Arabidopsis thaliana: one gene and its partner. The protein of the gene in region 1 interacts with the protein of each later gene in a pairwise test. Each region holds a gene or a part of one and is shown in the gene's direction. Other genes may lie near its edges.

The links. Proteins that work in one complex are often made in the same cells at the same time.
Region 2: the proteins of EXO84B (region 1) and EXO70A1 interact in a two-hybrid assay, tested with the Arabidopsis thaliana proteins (one study listed by BioGRID).

What each region holds. Positions count from the first base shown.
Region 1 is NC_003076.8:20,253,256-20,257,214, reverse strand, and holds the start of EXO84B (exocyst complex component 84B), read left to right. Parts: upstream 1-2,175; 5' UTR 2,176-2,448; coding exon 2,449-2,589; intron 2,590-2,750; coding exon 2,751-2,865; intron 2,866-3,065; coding exon 3,066-3,136; intron 3,137-3,296; coding exon 3,297-3,394; intron 3,395-3,604; coding exon 3,605-3,959. Other genes in the region: AT5G49840 (ATP-dependent Clp protease), read right to left, coding at 18-95, 176-250, 541-591, 805-884, 989-1,089, 1,177-1,238, 1,316-1,972. UniProt on the Arabidopsis thaliana protein: Component of the exocyst complex involved in the docking of exocytic vesicles with fusion sites on the plasma membrane during regulated or polarized secretion. Involved in polarized cell growth and organ morphogenesis.
Region 2 is NC_003076.8:887,566-891,165, forward strand, and holds the start of EXO70A1 (exocyst subunit exo70 family protein A1), read left to right. Parts: upstream 1-2,000; 5' UTR 2,001-2,040; coding exon 2,041-2,199; intron 2,200-2,322; coding exon 2,323-2,418; exon of another isoform or gene 2,419-2,538; coding exon 2,539-2,744; intron 2,745-2,951; coding exon 2,952-3,029; intron 3,030-3,124; coding exon 3,125-3,355; intron 3,356-3,600. UniProt on the Arabidopsis thaliana protein: Component of the exocyst complex involved in the docking of exocytic vesicles with fusion sites on the plasma membrane during regulated or polarized secretion. Involved in polarized cell growth and organ morphogenesis.

The sequences.
Region 1 (3,959 bases):
AAGTAGAAAAAGCTTACAGTTCCTTCCAGCAATTTTAGCAATGACTGTTGAACACCTTCTCCAGAGACATCTCTACCACCATTTGAGCTATGAGACTGACAGCGAAAAATAACTTGCTAAATATTGAGTATCAACCAATTCAGAATCAAAAGTAAAGAGTGAAGAAAACTCAGACCTTCATAGTCATTTTATCAACTTCATCAATGTACACAATTCCCCTTTGAGCTTCTTCTACATTGCACCCAGCTTCCTGCAGTAACAAAGTAAAGCGGTTGCTAATTAGCATCTAAGAAAGAAATTAACATGAATACTGCAAATAACAAGATTTTCCGAATACTAAAATAGTGGATCAAGAAGAAAGTGGTGAGAAGAAATTTTTTTTTTGAACTGTTACAAAGACAGGAACAAAGTACATTTGTAGTTTCAGACGTAGTCAGCGAAAAACTATTTCGTAAGCAGTTGTTAAGATTATATTACAAATGAAGGTATAAACAAATATGTAAAACCAGAGACATAATATGAGGTGATAGTAAGACATACCACATATAGTTTGTACAATATTGATTCCACATCTTCACCAACATAACCTGCCTGGACAAGAAGAGTAGTTTAGTTATGCTAAGAGCAAGACTTGTGTTAAGATTCCTCTAAAAAGCAAGAAAAACATCATCACTTCATTCAAAATATTTTTCGAAATGAGGGATTGTAAGGCATCCATCCTAGTGGGCCTAATGCTTCCCTAATGTACAACATACTAATGTTCTGAGTACCCAAACCTTAAGAGGGATAAGTGAAACAACTTGCCTGAGTTAGTGAAGTCGCATCAGCAATAGCGAATGGCACATTGACAATACGCGCCAAAGTTTTTGCCAGTAAAGTCTTTCCTGTTCTTATAACCAAGCAAGAAACATAAAGGCCAAGATCATTATCATACTAAACAGTATCTCCAAATACTCTCCAAAACAATATGGCAAGCAACAATATGCACCTGAACCAGTAGGACCAAGCAACAACACATTACTCTTATCCAACTCCACGTGATCAATATTATCATCCTCCATATCAATGTTATATGATTCTGAAGCAGACCTGTTATTAAAAAAAGAGCAAAAGAATCGAGCTTTGTTGTATCCCATATAAAGTATCAGAATGATAAGAGCATGGAAGAAGACAAACCCTTTTTTCCTAGAAGCATGATATATTCTTTTGTAATGATTATAAACAGCCACAGAAAGAACCTGCACAAAAGGAAAGATATGTAAACAAGAATCTAATTTAGACACAAAGAAGAAGAAGCTAGGGACCGAAACCAAACCTTCTTAGCCTTCTCTTGACCAATGACAAACTCATCAAGCCCTTGACAAATTTCCTTAGGAGTTGGAAGCTTAATCACAGATTGCTTCTCTTTATCACCACCATTACTTTCATCCTCCTCCTCATCAGCATCCTCACCATCTTCATCGCTTCTAAGACCTTGAATTTTCCAATTCCTAGGGAAAGATTTCTGATCATCATCATCATCATCATGGTCATCATCAGTTCCTTTAACTTTCCCGAGTTCAATAAAACTCCCTTGTAAAGGAGAGAGCTTGAATGGTCTAAAGTAAAAAGCTGTTTTGCATTGAGAACAGAAATTAACAGCTTGATAGATCCCTGGTTCTCTTGCTGTTAGAGACAATGGACGATTTGAGAAGATGACGTGCATCTGAGCAGAGCAACGAGGACAATTGACGTCACTTCTGATGTGATCATAATCATCTCCGCCGCCACCTCCGCCGCCGCCGCTGCAGGAGTCCCAAATACGGCGGGAGAAGGAAGAGGAAGGGATTAGGGTGTTGGAAGAAGGGCGTAGAAGAGGGATGTGAGGAGGAGAATCAACGGAGAGAAGGAATCTGAAACTGCGAGAGAGAAGAGATGATGATGTTATTGTCTTCCTCGAGACAAATCTGGAAATGGATAAGCTACAAAACATCTCTCTCTGTTGTCTCGATGATATGATTCTTCAAAGGTTTTTGCTCAGATTTACATTAACGGCAATCTTAAAGTAAGCATTCTTTAAAACGGCGTCGGTTTAGCTCAAGTGATGGCAGAGGTGAAGGATAAAGGAAAGCCTCCGTGCAAATGAGAGGGTTTCTGTTTTGCCGTTTACTAGTAAAAAATCCAGTAAAAAAAACCCAGAGTCGTTATTTTATTTATTAGTTTTCAACAAGAAAATTCGTTTGTTTAAGCAGACGAAAAAGCCAAGCTACCGTCGTTGGCTAAATCGCTCTGGTTGCCAACTCGATCATCATCTTCTTCTACCCACTTTCTCTATCTGCTCTCCGTATCTAGGAGCTCCCTCAGATCTGTGCTTAATTCTCCGGTAACATTACCGGCATCACTGGGATTGCTGATCTGGAACCGCTGTGAAATTTTAGGTTTTCTCTGAGAAGACAGGCAAGTTTAACGATGGCGGCGAAGACGGCCAGATCAAAAGCTACGCCGACGAAGGAAAATGGTGTCAGAGTCGAGGAAGGATTGAGTCTGTTCAAGTCTGATAAGTTCGATGCTGATGCTTATGTGCAATCCAAATGTTCTATCAACGAGAAGGTTTTTTTCTGTTCTTTTATCATTTCGTGTTCTTATTCTCGTTGATTTGTTGTTATCACGAGTGAGAATTTTCTAGGACTGAGTCTGTGGGGACTTGTTCGTAGATTTGGGATTGTATCATCGCAGTGTTCTTGTTTTGTTGCATTTCGTTTTAGCTGTAGGAAATCGTAATTGTGGAATGGATATTAGGTAGCAGCAGATTTTATACGCTCGAGAAGATGATGAGCAATGTAACAATACTCATTGCTTGTATGGTTGTTCTTGTGATCTTCTGGAGTTTGAAGGCAGTTTGTGAATTATGATTATGTAAAAATGTTACTCTTAAGAAATGCTGATAGGTTTAGTACCCATTTATAAGCTTTTAGCTTGCCAAATGATGTGTTCAGTGTAATACAGAATGTAGCTCATGTGAATATACATGGATGACTATGTCTTGTATCAGAGACAGAATCTGTTGTTCTCGTTTTCTGTTACAGAAAAGATTCAATTCGGTTATGGTATTGGGTATAAAGGGTGTCTCGTCTGTGTAGTCACTTTCTGTGATGGTGTGAGAGAGCTGAGGGAAAAGTTAGTTTAGGCCTTCTAGAGTTTACTACAAAAAGAGTAGTGTTTGATTTGGTTAACATAGATTGTTGGATTACTTGGCTGGACTCTTTGTTTTTTCTCAGTTATTTTGGGATGATGACATATTTCTGTTCGGTTCACAGGATATAAAGCAGTTATGCTCGTATCTATTGGATTTGAAGAGAGCATCTGCTGAAGAAATGCGGCGAAGTGTTTATGCTAATTATCCAGCCTTTATACGGTTAGCTGATATCCTGTCTGTTTTTAGTGCTTGGTTATTTTCTTTGAAGTTGATGTGATAATAAAGCTCTACTTTTTCAAGTTATTTCATTTCTTGTGGGTATTGGTGCATTTGCGTTTTGCATATGACTTCTTTTTCCTCGCACTACCTTATTGTTTTTTCTTGGCGGTGTGTTATTTTGAAAATTAAACTTTTTTCTGTTCTGTGCAGCACATCTAAAGAGATATCAGATCTTGAGGGGGAGCTATCATCTATCAGAAATCTTCTCTCCACTCAGGCGACTCTAATCCATGGCTTAGCAGATGGAGTTAACATTGATGACGATAAAGTTTCTGATGAATCTCTTGCGAATGGTTTATTGAATTTTGAGGACAACGGCCTCTCTGATCTGGAGAAATGGGCTACGGAATTTCCTGACCACCTTGATGCTTTATTAGCTGAAAGAAGGGTGGATGAAGCTCTGGCAGCTTTTGATGAGGGAGAAATTTTAGTATCTCAAGCAAACGAAAAGCATACTTTAAGCTCTTCTGTACTTTCATCTCTTCAGTTTGCTATTGCCGAACGC
Region 2 (3,600 bases), about 19 Mb from region 1:
TTTTGGAATCGCGGCTGCGGTTGCCATATCTATTAACCACTGCGGTTGGAGACTAACCGTTTTCGTGGGCTACCAATTGAAACGATTTGATTTTGTCAGTTAGTTTGTTAAAGCGTTTTAAATTAGCGATTGTAAAAAGGGAATGAGCATTATTTTTGGACAGACTAATTTAAACAGTCTAAAAAATTAGACGATTCATTGAACCGCTTAGAAAAAGTGGTTGGAATTCATTATTATTTTTAAATTTTAATGTGTCTATACTTTCATGAATTTTGTTTTTTATATCTATAAAACAATTTATGATATGTCACTAGCTTACTATACATATTTTTTTAGTCATTAACATCATTTCTCATTGCTTTAGGCTATATTGTATTCTCTACAATATAAATTGAAATAAGGAAAAAAAAAACTTACAATGACTAAATTTTAGTCACCAATGGAACTAATTATTTTGTAAGAAGGTTGAAAACTACTTTTTTTTTTTTCTAGAAGAGTCGGCGAACAGTGATGGTTAAATGAATTATGGGAGCCATGTTTGGCCTTCGTCTGCTGTCAGCCAAGCCCCTGCGAAACCCCACCCCTGGCCTGTGCAAAAGTTTACGCGCGCATTCTGAGAACGTGCTTTCCACGCTCCGATTAAGACGTCACTAAGAGTCAAAGCACTTTGATTTTCTCTTCTTTTCTCACAAAACACTTTCTTTTTTTATATACAGTATGATTTTTTTTTTTGTCGTCATTTTTTTTTATTTATTTATTTAATATGCCTCTTATGGTAAAACATATTTCAAGAAGGTTTATGTTTCTATAAACTAAAAGTTATCAACGGCAGATGAATAAATATGGAACTAATTTTCTCTCTAAATATCCAAAAATATGAGAATGTTGTCCATGGTTTTGGGAACAGAATGAGTGACGGAAAAGCCATGAAAAGAAAAGGTATCTTAGGAATATCATCTTCCTTTTGCTCGCCTAACCTTTTTTTATTGTTCTTCTCTTTTTGAATTTAAAATATTTTTCTGCTCTCTAGTAAACATTTAAACCATCGTAATAAATTGAGAATAAAGTGTGTGTATGTTTGTGTGTGTGAATGTTCGGTGTGATTTCAATTTATTGGAGGATAGAACTGTTGTGTCGAAATTGACACACCAAGGTGCCAAGTTGAGTACAAAATAAAGATCCTCTAGAGGCTACATCTTCGTCTAACAATCCTCATAAGTCTTCTTCTTCTTCTTTTTTTTTTAGTTTTCAACACACTAATGTCAAGTGTTTTGTTCATTTCTTTTTAGTTATAATATGTCTCTTGAGAAAATGTTGATATTTAGTTTGTTGTTGAGCCATTTATTTTCTGAGACAAATTTGGTCGTTAATGGATAATATTCTTAGAGATAGATCTACAGTACTGTGACTTTTGTGTAAAAACAAATTTGTAGCCGTATTTAATGGGCTATTTCGTATTTGGACAATAGCCTTTTATTTTGTGGGCCATGATATGTCAACACTGCTCAATGCTTATAAATGTTGTCGACATTTAACGAACGATATAACACCAAAAACTTCGAGTTTGTAAAGAAAAATTATGAGAGGATTACATTATGGTTAGCATATCTGACTATAATAAATTGAAAAATTACATTACTGGTTGATGGAAAGACAAATTTTTATTGAAGTGTACTTATTTCTTTAATTTTATTGGAATATAATATTCGATATGTGTTATTATGGTTAGCGTCTGCATATATTAATTTACGATTACATTATTGGTTAATGGAAATACAAAATTTTATTGAACCTTAATTATTTCTATAATTCTGTTATAAAAATATTTAAAACAGAGGTCAATATTTTTAAGAGAATGTTCAACAATCTGGTTAAGTAAGGGGAAAGAAAAAGCTTAGCTGGCTTTGAACCGGCTCGGCATTCCTCTGTCACCCACCAAACCAAACCGAGTCATCCTTCGTCGTCTCTCTTTCTTTTTCTTCAACTTCCATTTTTCGAAAGGCGACGAGAAAAAGTATTTCTCCAGTTTTGGAATTCGCCATGGCTGTTGATAGCAGAATGGATCTGCTAAGCGAAAGAGCTGTGTTGATGAGAGCATCTCTTCAAAAGAGTCAAACCATCACCGATAATGTTGTTTCTATCCTCGGCTCCTTCGATAGTCGTCTGTCTGCTCTTGAAACCGCCATGCGTCCTACTCAGGTGTGGTTTAGAGTGCTCCGATCATCTTCTCTGATTGTTTTCTAATCCAGATCTGGTATTATAGCTCTATGGAGTTTTGCTGACTTGATCGGATTTTGGTTTGACTGTGTTTTGAAATCTCAGATTAGGACTCATGCTATAAGGAAAGCTCATGAGAATATTGATAGGACTCTTAAGGCTGCTGAAGTTATTTTGTCTCAATTCGATCTCCTCCGTCAGGTTTGTTTTACAAATCTTGCTTCTGATTTTACTAACATGGATCGGTATAAATAGATAGAATTGATAATGATCTACATTGAGAATAGATAGTCTTTGATTATGCTCTCAATTCAATTCTAGGCAGAGACTAAAGTACTCAAGGGGCCACATGAGGACCTGGAAAGTTATCTGGATGCAATTGCTCAACTCAGAAAGATTATTCGTTATTTTATGAGCAACAAAAGCTTTAAGAGTAGTGATGGAGTTCTCAACCACGCAAATAGTTTGCTTGCTAAAGCACAGTCAAAGCTGGAGGAAGAGTTTAAGCAGTTGCTAGCTTCTTACAGGTTTGTGCTTCTGCGCCTGATAAGAGTTTAAGAAGCTACATGATTTCAAACTTGATGCTCTTGCTATAACTATGACTCATACCTTGTAACTTCAGGGAACAAAGCTATTGTGGATTTTTAGCTACTTTTTCTAGTTAGTATTTTTTTGGGAACTGGTCTTCGCTCTATGATGGTCTTACTTCTTTAGTTATCTTTCAAATAACCTAGAATACTTAGAATGACCTTTTATCTAAATTATCGGAGTTGTCACCTGACAAAGATTTTTTTTTGTGAAATCAAACACTTGTCAATATACAAGTTTCCTATGATACGAGTGTTCCAGACAACTGGTTTTAGATGGAAGAATGCTAAGGCCAACTCTTTTTTTTTGTTATAATCAGTAAAGCGGTGGAGCCTGATCGCCTATTTGATGGCCTTCCCAACTCACTGAGACCATCCTCAGACGGGGATGGAGGTGGAAAACCCCACGGAGGACATCACAATGATGACGCGGAAACTGCTGCTTATACACTTCCAATCCTCATTCCGTCACGGGTGTTGCCACTTTTGCATGACTTGGCACAGCAAATGGTTCAGGCTGGTCACCAACAACAGTTGCTACAAATTTATAGGTGAACTATTGATTCTTGGTCATTCATCCTGTATGTCGTACAGTTCATTTTCAAATCAGGCTCTTAGCTTAAATTTTCAACTAATAATTGTAGCATGAGTCAAAGTACTGAGTCAAGGTATAGTTTCTTTGAACGATTGCGGGTATACAATTAACTTACATATAATTCTCACCAGTCACCGCTCATTTACAAAGTAGTTTTTCCATGGTTTCTGCAAGTTGTGAGTTTATATTTGACTATCCTTC